Linked DNA regions of Stegostoma tigrinum. The protein of the gene in region 1 interacts with the protein of each later gene in a pairwise test. Links are inferred from orthologs where the notes say so. Each region holds a gene or a part of one and is shown on either strand. Other genes may lie near its edges.

Region 1 (7,439 bases):
AAGCCCTGTCTAACCTGCCTCCTCTGCAAGAGAATGCTGTTGTTTTCCTCTTTTCTCGATCTATGGCCCATATACATCACTATTACATGCTCTTTAATTTAAAAGCTTCAGCTGCAGCTTTATGAAAATAGGGTTCACTTCTTTGTGCTCCTTGACAATTAAAATTTCCTTTGAGGAAGAACCAGAATGTTTTCAATGTTAGGTCAAGGGTTTGTCAAAGAATTCTTCACTTCTGAGAGGCTCCTATTATTTAAATTACAAAACATTCAAGCAACATCTCCAAAACAGCAAAATTTAACCTTTTGGCTCCTTTGTCCTGCCCTCCATGTTTGTTGTCTTCTGACCAAAGTTCCAAACTCAGCAGAATAGGTGACCCATAATTCTGGGGGAGTAAAGTCTATACCTTTCGGTGGATAGCATTATTGGGACATTACTGGTAAAATAGCTGTGACTCAGTTAAAGGAAAAAATATTATTGGATGTGGTGGATATTATAGCTTTGGTGCATCCAAGCAGGATTGATTATTCATGACTAACTTAATAGTGTAAAAGTAATCAGTTACTCCAAACACCGAATCAAAATTACAAAATAGCAGCAGACAATATTTCCAAATGTTTCATGATTTTAAACCAAGGATTAAAATCAAGCCTAAGTTATAAATTTTTACATGCCAATGGAGAAAAGCATAATTGTAGTCAACTCTACTGTTACTCTTTGGATTAGCTAAAGACTCTAGAATGAAATCCATCAGGATCTGAGGGCTTTTCAGCTTCTCATTCTAATAATTTCTTAGTATTCCTTCCTTGGGTGATTGAATTGTTTTTAAGATACTCCATCTCTTTCATTCTTTGATTTGCAATTATTCCTGGAATGTTAGTCATAAGCAAAATAACTGTTCAATTGTCTGTCATTTTCCAACTTGATTATTTCCAGAGGACCACCGCTGACACATGCTTTTCCTTTTTAAATATCTGTCTGGACTATTTTGATATTTCTCACTAGTTTTATCATGTACTGTAATTTCTCCCTTTTCTCAGTTATTCTTTGTTCATGTTCTGTCCAGTCTTCTGACCATGATCTTTACTGAATTGTAGATATTTTCTACAAATATGCATTTCATGTTTTTGCACACCTCGGAAGTAGTTGGGACTTGAACGTAGGCCTCCTGGCTTAGAGGTAGGGGCACTGCACACTGCATTAGAACAGCCCCTCTTCACAGAACTGCATTTTTTTCTTTCAATTTTGATACAATCTTTAACTACTTTGATTAGTTAAGGATGGTGTTTCATTTCTCTCGAGTCTTTCTCACTGGAATGGCTATCTTGAATGTTATGTCTGCAATTTCATCTCCACTTATCTGTACTCTAACTTCTCTCTTTTTTTCCAGGCTCTGTCTTCATACCCTTATAACTGCCCAATTTAAGTTTAAAACACTGCAGTCTTGGATACATTCTTCTCTCCCTCAAGACCAGAATTAAATCATTATAATCACTGATACCCAAGTGTACATTCCCTATGTGATTATAAATTAATCCTATCCCGTTGCACATCTGATCGAGTATAGCCTGTTCTCTGGTTAGCTCTAATTCATGCTGCTCTAAGAAACAGTTCTGAAACGTACTGAGCTCATCTCCCAGGCTACCATTTTCACTAATTCGGCTCATCTATATGTAGCTGAAAACCACCCAGGTTATTGACATTAACTTTCTCAAACTACCCATTATTTCTTTACTATTTCTTTACTCCCATCCTACGGTATGGTTATTTTTAAGAAGAATATAAAATGCTCCTACAAGTGACTTCTGACCTCTACTATTATATGTCTACCAAAAATGATTTTATATCTTTCTGTTTAGAACTAAGGTCAAGTCTTTCAATTGTACGGATCTACCTTTTCTTGACTTCATGCCCTTCCAAAAAATGTTGCGAATCCTTGTATATTCAGGTTTCAGCCTTTGCTGTCTAGCAGCCAGATCTTTGTAGCGGCTATTCAGTCATACAAATTACATCTATTAGAGCAGTCATAGAGAGGTCAGGCATGGAAACAGACCCTTTTATCCATGCTGACCAAATATCCTAAATTAATTTAGTCCCATTTGCCAATATTAGGCTTAGGAGAGCTATAAGGGGACATGAGAAAACCTTGGCAGATAGGATCAAGGAAAACTCCAAGGCTTTTTACACGTACATGATGAATAAGAGAATGACCAGACAGGGTAGGGCCGAGCAAGGATTGTAAGGGGAATTTGTGCACAGAGCCTAAAGAGATAGGAGAGTTCATTAATGAATATTTTTCTTCGGTATTCATAACCGAGAGGTACCTAGTTGGAGGAGAGGGCTGTGAAACAGTCTGGTAGGCTAGAGGAGGTCAGTGTTAGTAAGGAAGATGTACTAGGAATTTTGAGGAACTTGAAGATAGATAAGTCCCCTGGGCCTGATGGGATTTATCCAAGGATTCTGTGGGAAGCGAGGGACGAGATCGCAGGGCCTTTGATGATTTTTTTCAACCTCACTGTCCACGGGTATAATGCTGGGAGATATTAGAGTGGCAAATGTCATTCCCTTATTCAAGAAAGGGAATAGGGATAATCCTAGAAACTACAGGCCAGTTAGTCCTACTTCAGTGGTGGGCAAATTATTGGAAAGGGCTCTGAGAGATAGGATTCATGATCACTTGGATAGGCACCGTTTGATTCGTGATGGTCAGCATAGCTTTATGAGGGGTAGATCCATGCCTCTCAAACGTTATTGAATTCTTTGAAGAGGTGACCAAACACATGGATGAAGGTAGAGCAGTGAATGCGTTTGATAAGGTTCCCCATGGTAGGCTCAAGCAGCAAGTAAGAAAGCATGGGATAGGGGAAATGTGGTAGATTCAATTCAGAATTGGCTGACGCTTAGAAGACAAAGGGTGGTAATGGATGGAAAATATTCAACATGGTGCTCAATTACGATTGGTGGACCACAAGGATCTGTTCTGGGTCCGCTTCTATTTGTGATTTTTGCAAATGATTTGGATGTAGGAGTGGAAGGGTGGATTAGTAAGTTTGCGGACGATACAAGGGTGGGTCCAGTTGTGGATATGGCAGAGGGCTGTTCGAGGTTAGAAATAGGCAGTGATAGGATACAGGGCTGGGCTGAGAAGTGGCAAATGGAGTTTAACCCTGAAAAGTGTGAGGTGATTCATTTTGGAAAGACAAACTTCAAAGCCGAATACAAGGTTAACAGAACGATTCTTGGCAGTGTGGAGGAGCAGAGGGAACTTGGGGTACACATCCACAATTCCCTGAAAGCTGCCACCCAGGCGGATAAGAGTTGTTAAGGTGTATGGTGTGTAAACTTTCATTAACAGAGGGACTGAATTCAAGAGCCTTGAAGTTCTGTTCCAGCTTTACAAAAGCCTGGCTCGGCTACATCTGGAATATTGTGTCCACTTCTGGTTGCCTTGTAACAGGAATGATGTGGAAGCTTTGGAAAAGGTGCAGAGGAGATTTACCAGGATGTTGCCTGGAATGGAGGGAAGGTCTTACGAGGAAAGGTTGAGAGAGCTAGGGCTTTTCTCTTTAGAACGATGAAGAATAAGAGGTGACTTGATAGAGGTGTACAAGATGATCAGAGGTATAGATAGACAGCCAAAGTCTTTTTCCTAGGATGGAGGTAGCTATTGTGAGGGGGCATAGTTTTAAAGTGAGTGGAGGTAGATACAGAGGAGACGTCAGAGGTAGGGTCCTTGCTCAGAGTGGTCGGGGTGTGGAATGTGGTGTCAGACAGGGTAATGGAGTTGGTCTCATTAGGGGCATTTAAGTGGCTATTAGATAGGCATACGGATGATAGTATAAGGTAGGGGTGTAAGTTAGATAGGCCTGAGGATTAGGGGAAAAGTATGGCGTAACATCATGGGCCAAAGGGCCTGTACTTGAAAGACACATGGTGACCCTCAGTCTCAAAATTCTTCTTACTGTATTAAAGTGCACCACTGTAGCGCCCATCGACACAAACTATGCAGCACTTCGTTTTTTTAAAACTGCAACACTGGATTTTAGGTTATAGCAAGCCAACTTGCATTTCAGTTTCAAAAAAAAGGAAAACGTGGTCCCTTACACAAAAAACACAATTATCCGTCTGATTTTGTCTGCCCCTTAACAGTTTGATTGTGGCTCAGGTAATAAGCTACTAATCGAGGTACTGCTTTTCAATTTAACCACTAACCCTTTTATAATCCCTCAGCGAAGCCGCTTTCCTGCTCTGGGGCTTAGATGCAGCAGTCTCCCCTCCTGGCCGCCGGAAGGCGCTGTCTTTGAAGTCTGCAGTGCTTTCCGCATTCGGCGGAGGGCAGTGCTGCCCTGTAATTACGGGTAAAATGGCGGCGCAGGAAGGCGGCCTTGACAGGGCTCTGAGCGTGAGATACTCCCGGGCATTGAGGCTGTCGGAGGTAGAGTCGAAGCGGGACCCTGAGTCGGAGCCTTATCGCTCCAAGTACAAGGCTCGGGAACTGCTGAAGGAGCTGAAAGCATCGTTGGGGCCGCGGGACGATGAGCCGCTCCAGGCTGGAGACTGGCTGCAGAAAGCGGCGGTGCTCGAGCTGCAGCTCGGCCTCAACCACACGGAGACAGAGGAGCTGTCCGCCGGTGAGGAGCACCTGGCCAAGTGCATCCAGATCCTGGAACCCTTCAGGCTTAGCCCCGGGGGCGTGTCCGTCTTCCTCCAGGCCGAGGTGAGGAGGCAGCGCAGGTCTCCTGGCAACCGGAACCTGGGGGACGCAAACACAACCCCGACATGGGGCAGGTCCCTGAGATCACCCCCACAATCGGAGGATGGCATTGGACAAGGAGAGCAGAGGTTGCGGGGGTTAGGCAGGGGCGATAGGGAGGATGGGAGGTGAGGGAGCGTGACAGCCGTTTCCTGCAGTCAGTCAGACAGGGATAGGGCCAGGGATAATGGGAACTGCAGATGCTGGAGAGTCCAAGAAAATAAAATGTGAGGCTGGATGAACACAGCAGGCCAAGCAGCATCTCAGGAGCACAAAAGCTGACGTTTCGGGCCTAGACCCTTCATCAGAGACGGGGATGGGGTGAGTGTTCTGGAATAAATAAATACATCACCGAGGCCAGACGCCAACTCTCCGACACCACCTCGACCCGCCCGCTCGATCATGACCCCACACCCAAGCACCAAACCGTCATCTCCCACACTATTCATGACCTCATCACCTCAGGGGACCTCCCACCCACAGCCTCCAACCTCATTGTTCCCCAACCCCGCACGGCCCGTTTCTATCTCCTTCCCAAAATCCACAAACCTGCCTGCCCTGGTCGACCCATCGTCTCAGCCTGCTCCTGCCCTACCGAACTCATCTCCACCTATCTGGACTCCATTTTCTATCCTTTGGTCCAGGAACTCTCTACCTACGTCCGTGACACCACCCACGCCCTCCACCTCCTCCAGGACTTCCAATTCCCTGGCCCCCAACACCTCATCTTCACCATGGACGTCCAGTCCCTATACACCTGTATTCCGCATGCAGATGGCCTCAAGGCCCTCCGCTTCTTCCTGTCCCGCAGGCCCGGCCAGTCCCCCTCCACCGACACCCTCATCCGCCTTGCCGAACTTGTCCTCATCCTCAACAACTTCTCTTTCGATTCCTCCCACTTCCTACAGACTAAGGGGGTGGCCATGGGCACCCGCATGGGCCCCAGCTATGCCTGCCTCTTTGTAGGTTACGTGGACCAGTCCCTCTTCCGCACCTACACAGGCCCCAAACCCCACCTCTTCCTCCGTTACATTGATGACTGTATCGGCGCCGCCCCTTGCTCCCCAGAGGAGCTCGAACAGTTCATCGACTTCGCCAACACCTTCCACCCCAACCTTCAGTTCCCTGGGCCATCTCCAGCACATCCCTCACCTTCCTGGATCTCTCAGTCTCCATCTCAGGCAACCAGCTTGTAACTGATGTCCATTTCAAGCCCACCGACTCCCACAGCTACGTAGCATACACTTCCTCCCACCTACCCTCCTGCAAAAATTCTATCCTCTATTCCCAATTCCACCGCCTCCGCCGCATCTGCTCCCACGATGAGGCATTCCACTCCCGCACATCCCAGATGTCCAAGTTCTTGAAGGACCGCAACTTTCCCCCCACAGTGGTTGAGAACGCCCTTGACCGCGTCTCCCGCATTTCCCGCAACACATCCCTCACGCCCCACCCCCGCCACAACCGCCCAAAGAGGATCCCCCTCGTTCTCACACACCACCCCACCAACCTCCAGATACAACGCATCATCCTCCGACACTTCCGCCATCTACAATTGGACCCCACCACCCAAGACATTTTTCCAGCCCCACCCCTGTCTGCTTTCCCGAGAGACCACTCGCTCCACACTGCCCTCCAACCCCACCACACCCAGCACCTTTCCCTGCAACCGCAGGAAATGCTACACTTGCCCCCACACCTCCTCTCTCACCCCATCCCAGGCCCCAAGATGACTGTCCACATTAAGCAGAGGTTCACCTGCACATCTGCCAATGTGGTATACTGCATCCACTGTACCCAGTGTGGCTACCTCTACATTGGGGAAACCAAGCGGAGGCTTGGGGACCACTTTGCAGAACACCTCCGCTCGGTTCGCAATAAACAACTGCACCTCCCAGTCGCAAACCATTTCCACTCCCCCTCCCATTCTTTAGGTGACATGTCCATCATGGGCCTCCTGCAGTGCCACAATGATGCCACCCGAAGGTTGCAGGAACAGCAACTCATATTCCACTTGGGAACCCTGCAGCCCAATGGTATCAATGTGGACTTCACCAGCTTCAAAATCTCCCCTTCCCCCACCGCTTCCCAAAACCAGCCCAGTTCGTCCTCTCCTCCCCACTGCACCACACAACCAGCCCAGCTCTTCCCCTCCACCCACTGCATCCCAAAACCAGTCCAACCTGTCTCTGCCTCCCTAACCTGTTCTTCCTCTCACCCATCCCTTCCTCCCACCCCAAGCTGCACCTCCATCTCCTACCTACTAACCTCATCCCACCTCCTTGACCTGTCCGTCTTCCCTAGACTGACCTATCCCCTCCCTACCTCCCCACCTATACTCTCCTCCCCACCTATCTTCTTTACTCTCCATCTTCGGTCCGCCTCCCCCTCTTTCCCTATTTATTCCAGTTCCCCCACCCCATCCCCCTCTCTGATGAAGGGTCTAGGCCCGAAACGTCAGGTTTTGTGCTCCTGAGATGCTGCTTGGCCTGCTGTGTTCATCCAGCCTCACATTTTATTATCAGGGATAGGGCCAGGGCTTGCAGGGTGTGGTTCAGGAGGGGACCAGATAGTGGACAGGGCTAGAACCCATGCAGGTACCCATTGCGACACATTTTATTAAAGAAGGTGAATGGAATCACAAGAGAAGTTGTTCAACTGATAACAGATTCTGCCAGGCAGAGGAGGT
Region 2 (7,038 bases), on another chromosome or scaffold:
ATTGTGTGTATGTGTGAGAGTGTACGCTTGTGTGGATGTGTGAGAGAGAGTGTACGCTTGTGTGTATGTGTGAGAGAAAGTGTATGATTGTATGGATGTGTGAGAGAGCATGTATGATTGTGTGTATGTGTGAAAGGGCATGTATGATTGTGTGTATGTGTGGGAGAGCGTGTACGATTATGTGGATGTGTGAGAGAGAGTGTACGCTTGTGTGGATGTGTGGGAGAACGTGTACAATTGTGTGTATGTGTGAGAGAGCGTGTACGATTGTGTGTATGTGTGGGAGAGCGTGTACGCTTGTGTGGATGTGTGGGAGAGCGTGTACGCTTGTGTGGATGTGTGGGAGAGCGTGTACGCTTGTGTGGATGTGTGGGAGAGCGTGTACGCTTGTGTGGATGTGTGGGAGAGCGTGTACGCTTGTGTGGATGTGTGGGAGAGCATGTATGATTGTGTCTGTGTGTGAGAGAGCGTGTAGGATTATGTGTATGTGTGAGAGAGTGTGCACGATTGTGTGGATATGTGAGAGAGTGTAATAAAGCCAAAGAATAATTCTGAGAACAGATGGGATGAGGGAGAAGCTGTGACACATTGGGTGCAGCAAGAGGGAAAGGCCTGGATTTGAATACTCTGCTTCAGACCCAGTGGCGCATGTTTAACCTTGCTGTGCACACAGGAAAAGGGCTGGGAGATGGCAATGGCAAATGCCATCCTTTTGTCCCAATGGATATTGTGCTCCATTGGCATGAGCAACATTGGACAAAGCGCAAATCTGTCTTCACTGTGCTGTGTTTTTTCATACTATCCTGTCTATTGAGGAGACTTGCACTGAAGTAAGGCTCCTGCACTCATTTCAAAGGCTCCAGTTTTTGTCAACAATGAACAGAAAAGCAGCAGAAGGCATCACAAGCTTTTCTAGGCAACTCAACAGAAACAGATTGAGCAGAACGACCTGTGAGGGGCATGTTCACATGCTCTGAACACTTCAGTCTCACATGGAATTGTACACTGCTCTTCACATCAAGGCTGAGATATTTTAACATAATTAGGACAAAGTAATTGCCATGAACATGCCAGTTTGGAAAAGCATCTTGAGAGTCCAAATCCACTTCACAGACTTGAGGCCAGAACCAGGCATGACAGTGCAAGACTGAGGGAGCGCCGCACTGTCGGAGGGTCAGTACTGAGGGAGCGCCGCACTGTCAGATGGTCAGTACTGAGGGAGCGTAACACTGTCAGAGGGTCAGTGCTGAGGGAGTGCCGCACTGTCAGATGGTCAGTGCTGAGGGAGTGCTGCACTGTCAGAGGGGTCAGTGCTGAGGGAGTGCCGCACTGTCGGAGGGTCAGTGCTGAGGGAGTGCCGCACTGTCAGAGGGGTCAGTGCTGAGGGAGCGCCGCACTGTCAGAGGGGTCAGTGCTGAGGGAGCGCCGCACTGTCAGATGGTCAGTACTGAGGGAGCGCCGCACTGTCGGAGGGTCAGTGCTGAGGGAGCGCCGCACTGTCGGAGGGTCAGTGCTGAGGGAGCGCCGCAGTGTCGGAGGGTCAGTGCTGAGGGAGCGCCGCAGTGTCGGAGGGTCAGTGCTGAGGGAGCGCCGCACTGTCGGAGGGTCAGTGCTGAGGGAGCACCGCACTGTCAGAGGGGTCAGTGCTGAGGGAGTGCCGCACTGTCAGATGGTCAGTACTGAGGGAGTGCTGCACTGTCGGAGGGTCAGTGCTGAGGGAGCGCCGCACTGTCGGAGGGTCAGTGCTGAGGGAGTGCCGCACTGTCAGAGGGTCACTGGTGAAGTGGCTGTTTTGAGATTAGAAATGAAACTGATGCCTTGTCTCAGAGAGAGCAGGAACTGCAGCTGCTGGAGAATCTGAGATAACAAAAGTGTGAAGCTGGATGAACACAGCAGGCCAAGCAGCATCAGAGGAGTAGGCAGGCTGACGCTCCGGGCCTCGACTCCTTTTTGTCTGCCTTTTGCAACGGTAGTAGATTCGCCAACTTTAGGTACATTTAAGTCGTCATTGCACAAGCATATGGACGTACATGGAATAGTGTAGGTTAGATGGGCTTGAGATTGGTATGACAGGTTGACACAACATCGAGGGCCAAAGGGCCTGTACTGTGCTGTAATGTTCTATGTTCTATGTTTTTATGATGGACGTAGATAGCAGAATTGCTTAGATGAAGGAAACCGGGTGTCAGTTTTGGAACAGTGATAATGGGAACTGCAGATGCTGGGGAATCCAAGATAACAAAGTGTGGAGCTGGATGAACACAGCAGGCCCAGCAGCATCTCAGGAACACAAAAGCTGATGTTTCGGGCCTAGACCCTTCATCAGAGAGCCAGTTTTGGAACCTTGCCTTTTGTAAATTAGCACCCGTGTTTTTCTTCTGTAACTTTGTAGAAATCTGTTTTCGACTCTGTAGCACATGGGGATTTGACAGATCAGTTCTCTGTTTCTTTATGCCCGGAACTGAGCACTGCTGCATTTGAATCATACTAATGTGCCTCATTTCAATGAAGCGAAGCTACAGAAGATTCAGAAAGAGGTGCTTAAGCAGGAAACTCGGTGAAATAACTCAGGATGAGTATCTCCAAATGCCAAATTAAAGCCCGAGTCCCCCCGACTCAAATTACCAGCCCCACTCTCCAAAAAAAACATTTTCAAAGGTGTCTTTTACCTTTCCAAATTTCTGTTGCATCTGCACGTGAAGTACTCCCTGTTTTATGGCCTCTTCCATTTTAAGTTCATCGTCGTGTGCCAGTGCGGGTATGTCAGGCACTACGAGCTCAGGGACTGTGGCTTCGCTGTGCTTCAGCAGTGTCACTGGAGGTTGGAGTTCGAGCCAGCGCCGTCCCCTCGCACCCGGCTCTCACACCCCAAAACCAAACTTGCAGCACATCCGAGACACAGTGCATCAAGTGGCCGCAGGTGGAGCATCGTCTCCAACACAGTCAAAGAGAAACTGGTGCACTCTCATACCCTGACAGTGATGAGAAGGTGGAACTCACTATCACAGGACTCGCTGAGTCGAAAGCTGTAGATGGATTGATAGCAATTTGCATGACAATTAATCTCTGTGAGTTTCCCTCCCCTGCCCATTGCTGGCTCTTGCTTGTTCCTCTTTCACTTTTCTTGAGTTTAGCACAGTTCTGCCGTTCCTCAGTTTCGATGACGTCTGATCATTAAACTCCGCTTCTCTCTCCAAACAGGCTGGCTTGAATAGCTGATGACTTCCAGCACTTCATGTTTTTACTTCCTATTCCCTGTGCTTGTGGTATTTTGCTTTTGTGAGTTGAAGTGAAAGCTGAATGAAGAGCCGAAGGAGAAGGGAGCTGAGGGATACAAGGTTAGGTGGAGGGACAGGTCTGGTCGGGGAAGTGGTGGCGACCGCCGAAGGACCTGGGCAGGCCAGGCGGGTGGGAAAACTGACGGATGGAATACAACGTGGAAGTCTGAGATTATGCACTTTGGCAGAAGGAATAGCTGCAGAGACTGTTTTATGAATGAGAAAAGCTTTGCAAGTCTGTAACGCAAAGAGATTTAGGAGTCCTCGTTCAGGATCCCGCTCGGGTTAACATGCAGGTCCTTTGGAAGTTAGGAAGACAAATGCAAGTTGGCATTCATTTCAAGAGGGCTAGAATTCAAGAGCGAGGATGTAATGCTCAGGCTGTACAAGGCTCTTATTAGACTGCATTCAAAATATTGTGGGCACTTTTACGCTCCATATCAAGTAAGGAATTACAGGCTTTGCATTTGGTCTGGGGGGGTTCTCTAGAATGATCCTGGAGATGAAGGGCTTGACTTTTGGGGAGTGGTTTAGGGCTCTGGTTCTGTCCTTGATGGAGTTTAGAGGGATGGCAGAGGATCTGCTTGAAATTAACAGAATACTGAGGGAGCCTCGATAGAGTGGACACAGGGAAGATGTTTGCACAAGTAAGTGAGGCTAGTAACCAAGGTTCCAGCCTTAGAGAAAAAGGACAGCCTCTAAAACTGAGATGAGGAGGAATTTCTTCAGCCAGAGGGTGGTTATTCAAGGGAACTGATTGCCTTAGGCAAAGTCATTGAGTGTTTTTCGTAAGGGGCTCAAGGGTTATGGGGATAAGGCAGGACAATAGGGTTGAGAAACATATCGGCCATGATCAAATGGCATAACAGTCTCGATGGGCTGAATGGTCTGATTCTGCTCTACTGTCTTATGGTCATATGGATTCATTGCTGGGATGAGGTGAAGAGGGCTCGGAGAAGGCTTCTCCTCAAGCTGAAATACTGGCATGCACCTGGTGGGCTAACCAGCCCTGTGTCATTCCTTTCACAGTTGAGTTGATGTTACCGTCAGCAACGTTTGCTGGTCCAGCTCTGTGCTTCTGACAGTGTGAAGTTTCAGCAGAGCTTAAAACTGGGAATTTTTAAACCAGGTTAAGGCCTGCCTCCATCTGGCAGCAAACAGTAAACTGCAACCCATGCTTGTTACCGCAAGGAATATTTCAATTCAATATAACCTAAACCTGCATGTAAAAGTGACAATGGTTTGAAATTATTGCACAAGCTGCAAAGTACTCTGGGACATCTTTGACTTCATGGAAATTCCTGGACCATACAGCAGTGAGACAGGCCATTTGGCCCATTCGTCTATGATGGTATTATACTCGTTGCTCAACCATTCTCTGCTCAGAGTTGCCACTTTTCTTTCTCTGCCTTCTCATTGTCACATAAGTATCTCATTTCCCTTGCAAAGTGCCTCAGCTGTTTGCTTCAGGCTTCTCCTACGGTGGGAAAGATGTGACCTTCGTGCAAGTTATTTTAAACAAAAGCTGCATTCGACTATGAGACATAGGAGCAGAAATTAGGCTACTCAGCCCATCGAGTCTGCTTCACCATTCAATCGTGTCTTTGAGGTGCCTGATTGTTGGTTGCAAAAGTCAGTGATGGGTGGTCTACCAAGCATGGTTTCTGCATCCTGCTGGTCGGGTCCAAAGTGTAGAGGACCTGCAAGCTTTAGAAGACACTGAATTGAAGGAGCTATATTTCAGGAGGAATTTAGCATGTCCTCAAAGTGGACAGCATTAGCATTGGAACTTCAAACATCAATGATGGCCCTTGTTCACTCTGTAGCAAAGAACCAGGCACCATTATGGACTGGAGGTAGTCCCATTAAAGTCTGACTGCACATTGTAATAGGGTATTTCACAGGAACCCTCAAATCAACCTTTGCATATTGACCACACATTATTCTCCAACATAGACACAGTGTTGTTGCAACATTTTGGGAAGTCCAGTGAGAACGTCTCATCCAACAGGGTCTCAAAAACTATACCTGGTGTAACTTACAGAAACACAAGCCTTTTTGGAACCACTGATGACATTTTGACATTGTGACTTCTACCCAGATGAAGATTTGAGAGCCAAGTGCGGCTCAAAAGAAGTCTCATTTAGAAAGGCTTCCACCTTTAACAGTCTTGTGAGCAACCTGAAACCCTGTCTGCACACACTAGGTCAGTACAAATAGATGATATACAAAATAACTTCAAGAACTGCAGATCCTGGGAATTAGAAATGGCTTGGAAATTTTAGCAGAGCTGGTGGCATCTGTGAAGATAAAGCAAAGTTAATGGTTTCGGTCGAGTGACTTCTACAGAACTGATTGGCTGAGGATAAAATTGGTAAAAAAAATGCAGGAGATGAGGAGTGATTGAGAAGTGATGGAGAAAGAGGCCAGCGAGAGAGAGAACAAACACATGGATGTGGGGAATCAATTGCTGCCAACAGGGACCAGTAGTAGCTAACACCTAGGTGGCACGGTGGCTCAGTGGTTTGGGGTGGCACGGTGGCTCAGTGTTCGGGGCAGCACGGTGGCTCAGTGGTTCGGGGCAGCACGGTGGCTCAGTGGTTCGGGGCGGCACGGTGGCTCAGTGGTTAGAGGTGGCATGGTGGCTCAGTGGTTCGGGGTGGCACGGTGGCTCAGTGGTTCGGGGTGGCACGGTGGCTCAGTGGTTAGAGGTGGCACGGTGGCTCAGTGGTTCGGGGCGGCACGGTGGCTCAGTGGTTCGGGGCGGCACGGTGGCTCAGTGGTCAGGGGCGGCACGGTGGCTCAGTGGTTAGGGGTGGCACGGTGGCTCAGTGGTTAGCGCTGCAGCCTCACAGTACCAGGGACCCGCGTTCGATTCCACCCTCAGGCGACTCTCTGTGCGGAGTTTGCACATTCTCCATGTGCCTGTGTGGGTTTCCTCCGGGTGCTCCGGTTTCCTCCCACAGTTCAAAGATGTACAGGCTAGGTGGATCGGCCATGCTAAATTGCCCGTAGTGTTCAGGGGTGTGTGCGTTATAGGGGGATGGGTCTGGGTGGGATGCTTCAAGGGGCAGTGTGGACTTGTTGGGCCGAAAGGCCCGTTTCCAAGCTGTAGGGAATCTAATCTAATCATGGGCTGTTTGCAGTAGCAGCATGTGTGTTGATAAGGCTTGGTGTGTGGGAGTTCAGGTAAGGATATGGAAGAAAGTGTTCGGGTCCTAAAATGATCAAACCCAATATTGACTTCAGAACAGCATTAGCAGCCATTGATTCCCCCAGGCTGACCTTTACCCACTCCTCTCTCTCTCTCTCTCGCCCCCTCCCCCCACTCTCTCTGTACTTCAACTCCACCCATCATTTAATTACCCCCTCTCCCCAACCCCGTTCCCCGTGCCTTGTACGCTCACTGGTTCCCCACCTACAATCAGTTCTGCAGAAGGGTTACTGGACTCGATTTCTCTCTGCAGGTGGTGCCAGACCTGCTGAGATTTCTGCTTTTGTTGCGAATACATGTTGATGGGAACTGAGAACCTCACCCTCACCAGCTCGTGACTGTGATCACCCAGAATGATCCATGGAACATGTTGCCATTAATGGCCAATTCGCCAATAGAATTATCACAGAATCCCTGCAGTGTGGAAGCTGGCCATTTGGCCCATTGAGTTTACACCAAGCCCTCCAAAGATCATCCCACCCAGACACACCCCCATTAACCTATCCATGTAACCCTGCATTTCCCATGGCTAATCCACACAGCTTA

What was found. The genes of interacting proteins can lie anywhere in the genome.
Region 2: the proteins of kifbp (region 1) and docking protein 2-like interact in a two-hybrid assay, tested with the Homo sapiens proteins (2 studies listed by BioGRID and IntAct). The two-hybrid records come from large-scale screens. The link is inferred for Stegostoma tigrinum from reciprocal best matches to the Homo sapiens genes KIFBP and DOK2.

What each region holds. Positions count from the first base shown.
Region 1 is NC_081373.1:57,846,700-57,854,138, reverse strand, and holds the start of kifbp (KIF-binding protein), read left to right. Parts: upstream 1-4,337; 5' UTR 4,338-4,360; coding exon 4,361-4,714; intron 4,715-7,439. UniProt on the Homo sapiens protein: Activator of KIF1B plus-end-directed microtubule motor activity. Required for organization of axonal microtubules, and axonal outgrowth and maintenance during peripheral and central nervous system development.
Region 2 is NC_081393.1:2,333,455-2,340,492, reverse strand, and holds the start of docking protein 2-like, read right to left. Parts: upstream 3,021-7,038; 5' UTR 2,730-3,020; coding exon 2,670-2,729; intron 1-2,669. UniProt on the Homo sapiens protein: DOK proteins are enzymatically inert adaptor or scaffolding proteins. They provide a docking platform for the assembly of multimolecular signaling complexes. DOK2 may modulate the cellular proliferation induced by IL-4, as well as IL-2 and IL-3.